Linked DNA regions of Pelodiscus sinensis. The protein of the gene in region 1 interacts with the protein of each later gene in a biochemical or structural test. Links are inferred from orthologs where the notes say so. Each region holds a gene or a part of one and is shown on either strand. Other genes may lie near its edges.

What was found.
Region 2: of the proteins of MBP (region 1) and CDK9, one has a biochemical effect on the other in vitro, tested with the Homo sapiens proteins (2 studies listed by BioGRID). The link is inferred for Pelodiscus sinensis from reciprocal best matches to the Homo sapiens genes MBP and CDK9.

What each region holds. Positions count from the first base shown.
Region 1 is NC_134712.1:98,087,466-98,095,124, reverse strand, and holds the start of MBP (myelin basic protein), read left to right. Parts: upstream 1-4,583; 5' UTR 4,584-5,034; intron 5,035-5,203; exon of another isoform or gene 5,204-5,820; intron 5,821-5,938; exon of another isoform or gene 5,939-6,008; intron 6,009-7,659. UniProt on the Homo sapiens protein: The classic group of MBP isoforms (isoform 4-isoform 14) are with PLP the most abundant protein components of the myelin membrane in the CNS. They have a role in both its formation and stabilization.
Region 2 is NC_134732.1:10,828,129-10,835,920, forward strand, and holds the start of CDK9 (cyclin-dependent kinase 9), read right to left. Parts: upstream 3,075-7,792; 5' UTR 2,957-3,074; coding exon 2,829-2,956; intron 1,309-2,828; coding exon 1,227-1,308; intron 270-1,226; coding exon 179-269; intron 1-178. UniProt on the Homo sapiens protein: Protein kinase involved in the regulation of transcription.

The DNA of each region.
Region 1 (7,659 bases):
GAGGGAGGAAGGGGTATGCCCCAGCTTCCCCACCCAGAGCATGGGGAGGGCAGTCCCGGGGGCAGCAACATTCCACCCCCTAGTAAGCGTTCTGGGGGTGGAGTATGGGCAGAGCTATGCCTGGCAGTTTGGGAATGCAATGCCTTCCCCCACCTATGATACCCACTGCCCCTGCCCTTGTTGTCAATGTTAATAGTATTGAGTGTCTGGTGACCATTAAACTTTTTAGTGAAGATTGAGCAAAATTCAACATCTCAGCTTTCTTGATGTCATCTCTTATTAGCTCTCCTTTCCTGCTAAGTAGAGAACACTTTCCGTTATCTTTTTCTTGTTCCTAACCTATTCAAAGAACCTATTCTTACAGGCTTTTATGTCCTTTGTTAGTTCCAACTCCTTCTGTGCCTGCAACTTTCTGATTCTGATCCTACATACTTGTGCTATTCTTTTGTTGTACTCCTTAGCAATATGTCCAGGTTTCTGCTTTTTGTAGCAGCCTGTCTCCACCTTGCAGAGAAGCCTATTCTCATTATCTGAAGGTTCTGCAGTCATTGATAGCTAGATAGCAACCTTCATCCCAGATGTGTCTATATGGATCCTGTTGATGTTGTGCTCCAAGAGACTATACAAATGAACCATTTCTTCTGAAGTTCTCTGACTTGCTTCCTGACTGACTACACCAACAGACCTTGGTGGGGGAAATGGAGCCTGTATTCCCAGCAAGTCCAGACCAAGCCTGGGCAAAAGCCTCCAGGGTTAGGATGCCTATATGGCAGAAGACTCTATAGGTACAGGCAGAGGAAGAATTAGCATACCAGGTTCTCCCTTGTAGACTGAAAAAAAACAAAACAACCCCACACACTCAACCCTATTCTCCTCAGCTGGTAAACTCAGTGGATAACTTCCTTTGTTTTACCAGCCACTGGAAGCATGCAGCTGAGGCCAATAATTGTGTACCTATCCTGGGTTTTGCAGTAAATATTCCTCTCCCTTGATTTTAGTTCCTAGAGCACGATGTATAATCCTTCCCTATCAAGCTACAACACAGTGCCTATCTCACAAATATACTATTTATAGATACAGAAGTTTATTAGTATTCCTGGAGCCTGCAAGTTTCTGGCACATTTCAACAAAATATTTTGACGTTTCTGTGCTTCCAAAGAATGCCATCTGTCACACGAGCATCTATAAAAACATTCATTTTTTTTGAAGTTGCTAACCTTTTTACAATTAAAGGTGAGGCTAATCACATGCTCAAAAGTAAGCACATACATAACTCTTTAGAAAATTGTAGTTAAACTTTCCTCATTAATATGCTCCTAATAATTACAAGATTCAAATGGGGAGAGGAATCATTTTTGAGATATTATATAAAGTATTTTAAGTCAAAGTTGTATTCAGTATTCCCCGAATATAAAATGACCAGAACTTTGTACAGCTGATGTGTAAGACACCTCTACTTCTTCTTCTTCTTCTTCCTTCCCTAGTTCTGTGATCTTGGACTTTTTTAGTTTTTTTTTTTTCATTGTGGTACAGTAGTATTTTGTTTCACTGTCTTAATTTTTAGCATGCTATCACTTTGAAATTTTGATATTAAAGGGCTGCATTGCGAATCCTTAATCCTAATGGAAAAAGAAAAATTATCACAGGTGCTTCAGTGAGACTAATTGTGCCAATAATTGCTTATCAATGAGAATGACTTCACAAACTGATCCCAAATTTCCAAAGGTTTTCTTACTTCTTACCTTAACTGCTTCTGCTTATTTTTTTAAATCAAAGATGTTACAAATATTTAGGTATTTGCTGCTATAAATAAAATGGTTAATAGTGACACTAAAAATATGGAATAATTAGGAGGGCTGCAGCTCCTAACTCTCCAAGTGTTAAGGCAATGAGGGGCAATCTGGCTACATGAGTGGCCCTCCTCCTCTCAGTGGGCTGCACCATTGTCATAGCCATGACAGTCTCCTGGGATAGAGTAGTTTTGCTAACTGTGCTTGTGTACCATGAGGTGTGCTGTAGCAGCACTTTGATTTGATGCAGAGGGAGTGCATGGCTCTCACAGTCACTGTTGTGTGCAATCAACATGTACCTCACTTTACATGCCCTCGCTTTAATATCAGTAGGAAAAAAACGTGCACGGATGAAAACCAGCAGCCTGGTTAGTGGCAACCCTACATGTGGGCAATAGTAACAAAGTGTCTGGTGGGCCACTCATAGAACCCCAATGGGCCATCGAATTGCAGGTTGCCCACTAATGTGTTAAGGCCTAAATGCGGGACATAAAGTAGAATGAAAGCCCAAAAGAAGGACAACAGAAAAACAATAGCTCAAAGGAGTTTAGGAATGAGACGAGGCAGCTGTTTTGTAACCAAAGTGTGTGACCTTGATTTTCCACTTCTGCAATTCTGAGGAGACAATTTGCAAAAATATTTCTTGACCACATATTCTTTGTTGTGAAATATACTCAAGAGACCAAGTAACCAATGTCAGTCATATTTATTAATATGGTACTGGAAAAAGGTTCAATATAAAATTCCAGTCTCCAAAGAGCAGTCCCATGCAATATTCACTTTCTGCAGAAGGTATGCTGCTACAGTTACGTATTTCACCTGGTATTAACAAAATCCTATAAATTACATATTTCTTTACATGCCACTAAAATTTAAGCCCACAAGTTTGTTTCAGTTTCCTAACTTGTTCTGTTCTTCCTTATCTTTGTTTTGGATACTAACATTCCAGGGACTGATATGAAAAGTTATTTCCCAGCTTGAATCAAGAAACAGATTCCTTCTATCTTGATTTTTGACAAGTTTCCTATACAGTTGTGCCAAATGCTTACTTCTGCGAATGCAAGGCAGTGTGGGATACACTGCATAAATTAACAGGTGTATGGTAAAGAACAGTATAGGCTACATCACTGTTATATATAAATGCACAGAACATGCATTAAGCACCAATAATATTAAGCATGAATATTGTATTGTGCAGATAATGCATATTAATGGCATTTATATGCCAGCAGCATATTAATTCACAGGACCCCCCCCCCCACTAAGGATTGGCTTAAATATATTTTTGTTTTTAAATAATACCTTTTGTGGGAAGGAATGTTGTCATGGCTCCTTCCCCACTCTGGCATGATAAATGCAGAAGTGGGGGCCAGCAAGTGTACCCCAAAGCCTTATCTACCAGGCTTTGATATAAAACTTCCCCCAAAATCTTAAAAACCTAGATTTTGGGAAGAAAACTTCCGCTGCCACCACCCAAATATTAATAACGAGATTAGGGAAAAGATCATTTGGGAAATCTCACGCCTATTATAAAAATCAGGACACACAAGTAACCAAAGCCAGGTTAATAAAAAGAAAAGAGAAAACTTTTATTATTACAACAATATTCCTGTTGCAAGCATAAGGATCAGATGGAAAGGTAACCAAATATACTCATGGAGGAGTTACACCATGGGCTAGAATTTAGTTAAAAAGAAAAGCCAAACATCTCTTAAGCAGTGCCAGATATCAGATCCCATACCCAACCCTTAAAACAATAAAGCCTAATGAAGCTACCTAAACTTTACCCTACTTACAGAAAATGAAGAGAGAGACATGCTTGTCCCTCTCTGTAGCTGCAGAGAACTCACCCAGAGAGAAAAGGGAGAAAGGAAAAAACCCAAATTCCTTTGTCCCAGTTTGAAAGTCCCACCTACATTCCTACTGGTCACTCCACCTGGCTAGGTGTAGTTAACCCCTTAATCCCAGGCTGCTGGCTAACCCTCATAATCATGACAAATGTACAAACTCTAAGCCTATCATATAATGACTCTTCGGATATGTCTACACTACAGAGCAATTTTGGGATACTTCTGGTATCCCAAAATAGTTATTCTGCAACTTAAGAGCAAGCCCATTATATCAAAATATAATGGGTTTGCTCTTCCAACATCCCTGGAAACCTCATTGTACAAGGGATAAGAGAAATAACATGGAAATGTCTGCACAATTTGTGCAGTGCAAATCGAGTAGCTTATTTTGAGGGAAGGGTGCTGGGTATACGCACCCTTAGATTTTTAGTTTTAGAAACACATTAGGTAGCAGGTCTTGCAATAGAACCATGTCCATTACCAACACTGCATCCTGCAAACAAACTAGTCCCATAACACTCTCTGGCTACACCTGTGCAGTTAGTGGGCTATATGCCTGGAGTTGGTGCAGAGCCTTAACCCTAACATAAAGGCTGCCCTCTATCAGGACACTAAATACGTTCACTGCACCAGATTTGCACAGAGCACTGTTCATGCGTTTAGGGACGACAGTGTTGAGACTTCTGCTGCAATCCTGGACTCGGGGCCAACCTCTGGGTAAGTTTCCTTTCAATGCGAAGTCTCTCATGTTACCCACCCCCGCTTCTTTCCACGCCCGGCACCGCTACCTGCGCCAGGCAGCAAGTTCTTCCGCCTCTGCCCCGTGGCAGCAGGTCTTGCCCGACTGAACCGCTCTCCTTTTCCCAGAATGCTCCTTGACGCTCCTCTCTACCCCGAGCCGGGCGCTTCATCTTGTCTGTGTCTTTCTAGCTCTTCCTGGTTTGCAGCAGCCCCGCCCGCCCGAGCCCTGCAGTGACACCGGCGCTGCCCGCCTGAGCCCAGGTGCTGCATGACCCGGCGCTCTGGCTGGAACGGAAAGGCGCCAGGCGGCGGCAGCAGCGGGTGATTTTCACCTTGCAGCAGGGAGCGCTGGGGCGGCGGCGGCGGCTCGCTACCACCTGGGGGGCGCAACCTAGGCGGCGGCGGCAGCAGCAATTGTATTTCAACCCCCCCCCCCCCCCACAGCTGCAGCGCTCGGTGGGGAGAGAGGCGCGCAGTTCCGCGTTGGCTCGGCGCTTTCTCTTCTCTTCTCCCCTCCCCTCTGGGGCAGCTCGCCGCTAGCGCCCCCGCTAGGTGGGTTGGTTTCAGGAAAGGGGGGGGGGGGTCCTCCCCCCTCGTGCCGCTCTCCCCGCCGGTGGATGCCGCAGACCCCGGAGCCCGAGACGACGCGCTGGGTGCGTTATGGTTTGTTTGGGGTTTTTTTTGCAATGGCTGTGTCTCTTCCTGGGGGTGGCGAGGTGGGGCCGGGGCCAATAATGTCCGGGCCTGGCAGCGCACGTGCCTCCTGTTCACCGCAGTGGGCTCTGCCTTCGTGTGGGGCTGTGAGGGCAGGAAGACTCGGTGGCTTGCTCAGTGTGTGTAGGGTGGGGGTGGCATTTGCCTCGCTGCCCTCCCCTTCGTGAGGTGTCCCGCCCCCCCCCGTGCAGGGCCAGCCGCAGGGGGAGGGGAGAGGGGCCGGGGAAGCGACCTGCTGCGAGGGGGCTAGTGCAGATGGCGGTGCCCCCCGCCCAGGGCTAGGCAGGTGCAGGGCTCCCGGCCTCTCGCTGCGCGGCCGCAGGAGGGCTCGGCCCGGAGGAGAGGCCGGGCTGTGACCTGCTGCCCCGCCCGGGCTTACGCGGGGTGTCAGCAGCGCGGAGCGCGCCCCAGGCGTGGAGGCAGCGCGCTCAAGTCCCCGGGCTCGGCTGGAGACAGGGAGGGGGGCAGCGAGACCAGCCCCCCGGCCCAGGCTGAGGGACCCCGCCCGGGGGCTTCCGGGTTCAGCTCCAGGCTTGTGTCCGGACGGAATTGAAAAAGCGAAACAAACCAAACTCCTCGCCTGGCTGCAGCCCAGCCGCGAGTGCGCGCCGAGCAGGGGGCGGGCTGGTCCCGGCTGTCCAGCTCACCTGGCCGCCCAGCGGCTCGCCGGGTGCGTGAACTTTCCTTGCTACTTTCTTTGCAATGCTCGGCTGAGTCGCTGGAAGGTGCGTGTCCCGCCCTCGCTGCGGTAGGGAGCTGGGCCGCCCAATGTCAGTGCGTTAGTGTGGCTGCTTCTGCCAAGCAGGTTCAACCCCTCTGCCTTGGGGGAGGGGGATGCCGGGTCTTTGAGTGCCTCATGGTTAACTCTGCTCTCACTCGCACCCGTGTTTTCTGTGTTGCGCTGGGATCTCTGGTAGGTGAGCTTCTGTAGTTTTTGTATTGCTGTCAAGACTCTCCTTCGTGGATGTATTTGATTCTTTTTCTAAATGGCCTATGCATACTTAGCAAACTGTAGGTATTTTTGTGTGCACCTGGTGGCTCGGTAGCAAGGGCAGATATGTTGATCTTACAGTGCCTGGATATATATATGCCAGGAGTATATATTTTTCATCTATATAGACTGTTTTGTTTTTTTTAATACCAATGAGCATTGAAAAGGTAGATGAGTAAGTGAGTAGGTGAATGGATGGATTGGTAGAGTGAAGAGACTGTCATAAAGGTTGAATCTCTCTGGTCCAGCAGCATCCATGGTCCAGCATGATTTTAGTTAGATGGATGTCCACTTATCATGGATGTGACCAATCTTCTTGAGGTCCCATTAAGTTTGTTTTCAGCCACCAGTCCTCGCTCCCAGTGTTCTGTGCTGTTATATATCTCCATTTTACCCCTAAATGTCTTCTAAGAACCCAGTAAGCAATGGCAGTGTTGGTAATGCTGGTAGACAATATTGACCCCCTCCCCCGCTATGGTTTGGCACATTCTCTGGTTTGGTACCAGTCAGGGTTCAAGGATGCCAGACTAGAGAGGTTGAATACTGTTCACATGGCAATTAGAGGATCACAAATGTATAAAGAACCTTTTAATTTAGTGCCGTAAGTGGACTTATGTCGAGCTTTGATTGTATTAGACCATGAGGTCAACCTGTTAAAGGAAATTAGTATATCCTGAGAAAAAGACAAAGAATAGGTCAGTCTTATTGTTTTGTCATGACAAAAGTCTCTCTGCAAAGCGGGAGAAATTTCATAAATAAAATGTAATATTATATTATTAGCCCCTCTCAGCATATAACGAGTACAATGTAAAGGACAAAAGGGGAAATACTTATGTTCATAGTTGCCCTGAAAACCAAAAATATGAGGCCTAGTTCTGCAAAAATAGTTGAATTGCTACAGAATATAACAGTAACTAGTCATAATTTGAGTTGGCATTATTGCCATGGCAGTTTTCCAAAATGTACTATGTCATACTGTCAGCCTAATGATGAGATATTAAAATTGTTTAAATCATTAATATGCAAACTGAGCTGTGAGAATTCTCAGAACAAACTTGTCCTCTCTTTAGACTTTGATTCCTAAATGGTGACTCCTAAAGCTAGCACTATGTTGCTATTGAGTGAGATGCAATGCTTTGGTTCACAGTCACCTAATCTCTTGTATCCTCTTCCAAAAACACAGGTACTATAATTACAAAAAGTACCTGTCGCCATTCCCACCATACATACTTTTTTCACTGATAGATTTCAAAGTTCTTTCAACAGGTGCTTTATACCTGGATTTGATTTAAATAAAATTGATTTGTATCACTAGTTAGGAGGGCTTAATTTAATCATGGCTTTCTATGTCAAAGTGCATTCTTGTTGGTTGTCATAACCTTAATGCAAATTCTTCACAACTCAGAGAGATATGTGAGTATCATTTTTAAAAGGGACACACTATACATTTTTGAAAAATTTTCTGAATAGTTTTAAAGCTATATCAGAAAATGAATGATTGTTTAGCTATTTCATTTACCAAAGGTAATTGAAGCAGATATTTATGATGTCATTGGGAGGTGAACTATCTCTA
Region 2 (7,792 bases), on another chromosome or scaffold:
GATGTGCACTCACCAGGCCACTGTTATCCAAACGAGGCAGATATGCACCAAAACCTATGGACAAACCATGCTATTTTGTATTGGGCTAGTGCATTTCACTGAGAAAAAAATAAAGGGTACACTAGAGATCAACTGATGTAAGTTAAAAAAATAAAAAGGAGGAACTAAAATGTGCTACCTTTGGTCCTGCAGATTTCTATGAGGTTCACTACATTCTCATGCTTGAGCAGCTGAAGGATTTTGATCTCACGCAGGGCTGTGATGGGGAACTAACAAAGAGCCACAAGTTAGAATTGCAAGAGAAGATCCCAGTCTAATCTAGATCAGGGGAGGGGAGGAAAGGGGAGAGGAGATAATTATGGCAGAAATCTCAAAGAGATGTATTCAAGCAGACAAAGTGCTGCTGCTCAAACCACAGCTAGGGTCAGAACAGAGCCTAACACCAACATTGTGCAGTTCCAGATTTATTCACAGTGACTTCCAGTTTATAACTCTTAGCACCTAGTAACTAAAATAGCTTGTGTTGACTGTCCGGAACACCAGACTGGATCAACTACTTAAAAAAAACCCTGAGATGTGGAAGAGAATCCAGTGTGTTGTTGCTTCTTGAGATGACCAGCAAAAGCAATACTGATGTTTGCCATTAAAACATGGAGACACTTGTTAATGTGTGATCCCAATTAGAATGCAGCTCCCCATCTCCTCAATGTATGAACTTTACCATGTGAGCAGAAGTGAAATCTTATTGGGCTCAACAGAGATGCGATTCAGACACCCATGTAACATGGAAAGACTTTTGTTTTAAACCAAGTTACTTCCTGATACATAGGTAGGGGTTTAACTGGTTAACCAATTAAGGGGAGGTGCAGTCCAGATGGGCTGGAGCAGCCTCTGCCTGCAGTGCACCCAGGCCCACTGCCAACAGGGACTGCTCCGGACACTCAGGAGCTACTCCGGACACTCAGGAGCTACTCCGGCCCCCACAGTTTAACTGTTTATCCAGTTAACCTTTTACATCCCTAATACACAGAGCAGCACAACACTTTCTAAATTGAAATTATTTCTATATTGGTTTTTACTGCTGTAGATCCTGCAAAGTTACACACACAATGAATTTCCATATCCCACAAAGATTGAGACATTGTCTACTAAAGACATATGCCCAGCTCGCAAACTCCCACCCTTCTAACCCAGACACAGTAGAGGCACATGCCCAGCCATCTTACCCCCTCCTTCTCATTTTCCATCAGCACTTTCTTCAGAGCCACTTTCTTGCCTGTCTGCCGATGTTTTGCTTTGAACACTTCCCTGCAGAGAGGATAGAAACACATGGGCATTCCTGGAGGAGTTGAAGTAGCCAAGTGGAGCAGGCACAGCCAGCCAAGACTTAGGATGTTAACTAGTGATTAATTTATTAGCTGAGTTGATTACTAGTTGATAAGCACTTCCACGTTCCACCTTTGAAATATACAAGAGCCCCCAGGGCCCTGGGCATTTCAAAGTTGGTATGACACACACAGCCCAGCAGGAAGTCCCACTGACTCCATAGGGGCACTTCTGCTTTGAAATGAACAAAGTCACCAGTGGGGGCTCTTGCACATTTCAAAGAGGAAGCATCCGCATGGAGCCTGGGGTTAACAGGGGACTCATGCTCCATGCTGTGCTTCCTCCATGCCGCTGGCAACTCTTGCACAATTCAAGGATGGCATACTGGACGGAGCCTGGGGTCAGTTGGGGAGTTCCCAGCTGATCCTGGGCTCCAAGAGGTGCTGCTGCTTCAAAATGCCATGCAGAACCCGGGGTAGTCCCCAGCTAATCCAGGGTTCTGCACAGCATTTCAAAGCAGCAGCACCCCACTGGGCTCAGGGTCAGCTGGGGAGTCCCCAACTGATCCTGGGCTCCAAGCCACTTTGAAATGCCATGTGGAGCCTGGGGAGGCATTTTGAAAGGGCAGCACCACATGGAGCCTGGAGTCCCCAGCTGACCCCAGGCTCCATGTGGCACTGCTGCTTTTAAGTACCCCTCCTCTTTTCTCTCCCCCTCGCTGCCTCTATCTGATAAGGAGGGGAGGGGGGGGAGCAGCAACTAATTCTTTACATCCCCAGCCAAGACCAAACAAGACATTTCTATGCTTGCTTACAGGCAACTCAGTGCTGACCCTCTGCCTAGCCCAGGTCTTCCCACTTCGTGCCAAGAAGCACCACAATCTCCTAGGGTGCATCTACACAGCACAGTTATTTCAAAATAACTGATGTTATCTTGAAATAATGCGAGTATCTACACAGTAATTTTATTTCAAAATAATGGATGGCTTATTCCAACATCTTTAAACCTCATTTCACAAGCAATGTACTGTGGACACGCCCCTGCTGCTATTCTGAAATAGCGCCTCCCCAGGGCCACTCAAAGTAATTACTCTCTAGTGCAGCATTTCTTAAACTGTGTTCCACGGTACACCGGTGTGCGCCGAGGCAGTTGGAGGTGTGCCTTGGAGAACAACAGAGTGCAAAATGGCCAAACTTAGAGGGGCAGGAAACTTTTTTTCCCCCCCTCAATAACTCCCCCCCTTTTTTTTTTGTTGAGCAAAAAAATAAAAATAAAATAAAATAAAATCCTTGGGTGTTCCTCAGTCTTAGAAAGTTTAAGAAACACTGCTCTAGGGCCTCCTGGGGCTCTAAATCAAGGCAGCGCATCCACATTAGGGGAACCTGACTGGGACTAACTTTGAGGCTCCCCTGCAGTGTAGACGTGCTATTTCAAAACAAGCTATTTCTGAGTATTTCTCCTGGAATCGCTCATTCTGAAATACAGGTGCGGTGCAGACGTACCCCGAGAGAGCCGGCTCGCAGATTCCAAGGCAGGTGAGACCGGCAATGGACCAGCCTCTCACCGATCTCCAGGCGGGGGGGGGGGGGGGGATCTCAGACCCTGGGCATCTCCTAAGACACCAAGGCATTTTGGAGGGCGAGGGCGAGTCGATCCCTCAGCGCCCCCGGCGGGGGGGGGTCGCTCCCAGAAGGCCGGGCTGGCAGGAAGCCGGGTTGGGGGCGCTGGGGGCCGCAGGGCAGGGGGCGGCCCAGACCCGAGCGCTGGGGGGGGGGGGGCTCTCACCCGAACGTGCCCTGCCCGATCTTCGCCAGCTTCTCGTACTTGGACACCTCGTCGCAGAAGGGGCACTCCACCGTGTCGTACTGCTTGGCCATGTCGGCCCGCAGGCCCGGCTCCCGCTACTAGGCCCCTGTCGCCCCCGCGACTGCGGCGCGTTTGCTCACGTCATACGCCGGGCACGTCCGCCCCCGTGAGCCTTGCCCCGCCCCTTCTTCCGCCGCGCCGCCGCCTGGGAGTTGTAGTTCTCGTAGACCTGGCACTTGGTTAGCGGTCCGCAGCGCCAAGGGCCCGCCCCCAGGAGTCCCAGGCAGGGACCTCGGGGCATCGGCCCAGCTCCGCCCTGCGCTCCCAATGCTCCCCGGCCGGAAACTGCAACTCCAGCCTATAAGAGAAACTACGTTGAGCCGGGGCAGGGCCAGTCAAAGCCATTGGCCTGGGCCTCAGGCTCAAAGGGAGCCTCACGTTCAGACATGTGGCTGTGTCTACACTGCACCCCTGTTCCGGAAAAGGGATGCAGATGAGACAAGTCGGAATTGCAAATGCAGCGGGGATTTAAATTTTCCCCGCTGCATTTGCATGAACATGGCTGCCGTTTTTTCCGGCTCGGGGCTTTGCCGGCACAACGCGCCAGTCTAGACGGGATCTTTTGGAAAATAAAGCCTTTTCCAAAAGGTCCCTTATTCCTCTTAAAATCAGGAATAAGGGACCTTTCAGAAAAGGCTTTATTTTCCGAAAGATCCCCGTATAGACTGGCGCTTTTTTCCGGCAAAGCCCTGAGCCGAAAAAAAGCGGCAGCCATGTTCATGCAAATGCAGCGGGGAAAATTTAAATCCCCGCTGCATTTGCAATTCCGACTTGTCTCATCTGCATCCCTTTTCCGGAAAAGGTGTGCAGTGTAGACACAGCCACAGTGTCTTGGCACTTGATAAGTCTGGTATCTTGTGTCACGGGCACCCCTGTTGGGCCCAAAATGTGACCCACGCTCAGCTTTTCCTGCATAGAAGCATTTTTACATTAAGAAACATTGAAATCCTGTCTCTCTCGTGTGTATCGCCAGTGGCCCTGACACATAGGAAATATTCCCTGATGGAGAGCACTGGTCCCAAACTGTTCAGGGTTACACCCTCCCTTACACCTGTCAATACACCCTCAAACCATCCTGCAGAGCCACAGCTCTCCAGAGGGAGGGCGAAAAGGGACGAGGGTAACAGGATTACAACTGGGGGTGGGGGTGGGTCTGGGGCCAGGATCAGCGCCACAGCCAGAGGCTAAGGCTGAGACTGACACCAGAGCTGGGTGCAGAGTGGGAGATGGGGATGGGTGCATGGTCAGTCAGAGGTCGTGGCTGGGGAGGAAGCTGGAGCAGAGCTGGGTATGGCAATGGTCTGTCCTTGCCTCTGGGGGCTGGCCTGGGCCCCACTGTGCCCCTTGTATGTTCCACCACAGACCAAAGACCATTTAGGAGGCAATGCCCCACAATTTCTGCACATTATCTTCTCAGTGCATTTCCCATCCCTGACATTCACACACACATACACCCAACCCACACTTCCTGCCATTACTCACAATCAGCAGGAGATGCAGCTGCTAGCAGTATCTCAATGCCAGTATCCATGGCATTGATGGATATGAGCAGAACGCCAGCAGGGGGGGCTTTGAAACAAGCCAACAGTATTAGCAATAAGGCAAGCAGTGAGAGATTTAGCTCTCACATACATGAGACTAAGTCAAGTCAAGCCAAGATTTCAGGCAACAGAAATGGGCCTGCTGAGAGAGCAGAAACTAGTCTAGTCAGTACAGTAGGGTGCCACTAATAATCTTACTGCCAGGAAAGGAGAAAGACTAGAGGGACTGGAGTGGTTAGGACAAGCAATTGTGAGTCAGGCCTGACTTTGCCACTGACTGCTGGTGTGGCCTTAGGTAAGTCATTATCCTCTCTGAGCCTCAGTTCTTTCCTTAAGGTAAAAAGAGAAACCTAGAGGAGCCATGTCAAAAACCTATTCCACTGGTAGTGATACCAATAATTCACTTATAGACTGGGGTGCAAGAGAACCAGCAAAAAAGGGGCAATTTGCATGGCTCCTGAGCAAACCACACTGATCAGCTTCCATTCTGTAGTGTCCTGGCTACTCTTTGAGCCCTTGTATACTGCATTAAGCACATCCCCTGCTGTCTGATCCCTTGCTTAGACGCTAGCACCACATGTATTCTCTGATCCATTGGAGACTGTGTCAAATACATTCCTGCATACATCTAGGGCAGATCCTCAGTGGGTGTGAAATGGCATTGCTCTATTGACTTCATGGTCCTGTGTCAGTTACACCATCTGTAGATCTGTTCCCTAAAGTTTTGTCAGCTTGCTGGTTCAGTGCTTCTGGGAGCCAGGGGATTATTTTTCCCAAGCCCAGAAATGAAGGTGACTGTTCCTCTCTCTACCCCATTCCAAGAGGAAGTCCCTGAATAAATAATTCCAAGGAGAAATCTGAGTGAGTTCCATGTATATTCCATTGCCTCTTCCCAAAGTCTGTGGCCCTACCCCACCCCTCCATCACAGGCCTTTTCTCAGGGATGCCAGCTCTGTGTTTGCCTGACCCTCGAGCAGGCTATTTGCCTGCTTGAGTGGTTCCTTTTCATTCTGGACTCCATCTGTTGCTATTTACTAGTTTCCAAACCAGATGCCACTCATCTTTCACCTGGTGAGCTGCATAACAGTGGTGTCATTGGAGTTGGGGATGGAGGAAAGTGTGCATTTCCCTCTGAGGGCTAGCAAGGCAGCATGGTTTTGCATCAGCTTTACCCATGGCCACTGGCCCAATAGCAGAGCAGGCAGTACACAGGGTTTGTACAGATTTATCCACCCTCCCAAGTGACCCAGACATTAGGAAAGGGGAGGAACTTGTAATCAGCAGCAGGCCTGCCAACCCTCTTGAGTGCGCTAAGGAATAAAATAACTTTCCACTTTCCTTAAGGAAACTCCCACCCAGGTCAGCTCAGATGCCCTGCAGTCTTCTCTTCCTGCAGTACACATTGTAGGGAACAGCACTGCGCTAGCCCAGAGGAATGGACAAGCTCTTACCTGGTTCTGATGACTCTGTGATCCTTGTTCACCCTACTGAGAAAAAGCTTTCCTGCAATAAACAAAAAATTCACATTGCTATACCGAGCAGAAATATTCTTTGCATGCGCAAAAGCCCTCCCGTGCCTCTGTTCTCTGGGCTGGCTCCTCCTTATGGGAGGATTTTCAGATTTCACAATGGTGCGATATCCAGTCTCATCTCCAAGGTGAAACCATTAATGTTATTTAGGAAAAACAATAAGGGGTCCTTAAGGGCTAACAATTGTATTATGAACCAATAAGTAATTCTGTGGCACCTTAGAGACTAACAAAAATATATGGGGTCATGAACTTTCCTGGGTAAAACCCACTACAAGCTTTCCATGAGCTGCAATTCACCTTATCAGATGCATGAAGTGAAAGGCAAAGGAATCAGATAGTAGGAAATTTCCATTTTAAGTATTCTCACCTTCTTATCCACATCCATCCTGATTAGCCATGATGTAACACTCCCATCTCTATGCCCCTATTTGTTTCCTTTGAGTTTCACTTCATGCATCTGATAAGGTGAATTGCAGCTCAGGTAAGCTTATGCTATAATCAAATGTTTAGTCTTTATGGTGCCACGGGACTCCTTGTTTTTGCTGAAACAGACTAACATGGCTACCTCTGAAACCTGTTTGTTAAAAAGTTTTGCCTAGTGGGAAGAGCGGGTATTCCTGTTTTATAGTGGCTTGGCCACTAAGCCACAATGTAACTTGGGGGGAAATTTTCAAAAGTGGCCTCTGGCTTTGTGTGCCTGGCCGGAGAGACTTGTACCTGCTTTTTGGAGGTGCCACTGGGAGCTCTTAGTTCTTGGCGCCTCTTAAAATCAACCCTAACTTACCTTCCCCATCCCAAACTAGCAGCCACTCTTGCAAACGCAGGTCCTGCCTTTGAGGGTTCTTCGAGATCTATGCGTGAACCAGAGGCAGGAGAGGGTGTGCACAGGACAGTGTGCGGATGCATCAGAGAGAGCCCTACGAAGGACACCAGTGACTGGCATCCCACTGTGACCCTGTGGTTTGTGGTTTGGCTTGGCATTCACTACCCAGAACTGTCCCATCTCTTTGTGGACACAGAGCAACAAGCAGCTCTCCTGAGCCTGGCAGGCTGATCAGGCCATTTGTTTCTGAAGAATAGTCCGTGGGGAGAGCACTCACGTTGGGAACACTGTGTGCCAGCTCCCCGGCACATGCACGGGAGCCACTGCCCATGACTCATCACCTCTCCTGGCTCGGGCATTTAATTGAGACGCAGGAGTGAGCCGTCGGGGCCCGGGCTGCCGCTCTCCATCCTGTTCTATCATTTCCCTACGTCAGGGGCCGGTGAGTAGATTTCTTCCGTTGCCTCTGGGGCCTTTGGCAGGAAGAGCCACAACAAACAAGAGCAGAGTGAGCTCATCTTGTGGGGGAGGTGATTCCTTAGATGCACGTCCAGAAACAGCAAGAGGAAAATGCAACAACCTGGCGTTAATGTAGTGCTGGGGAGAAATGCCAGGTCGCTGGGCCTGGGTTCTGATGATGTATGTGTATCCAGACAGCAGATCCAGCCCAGGCACAAGCAGAGCCCCTCATGCAATGGGGAACT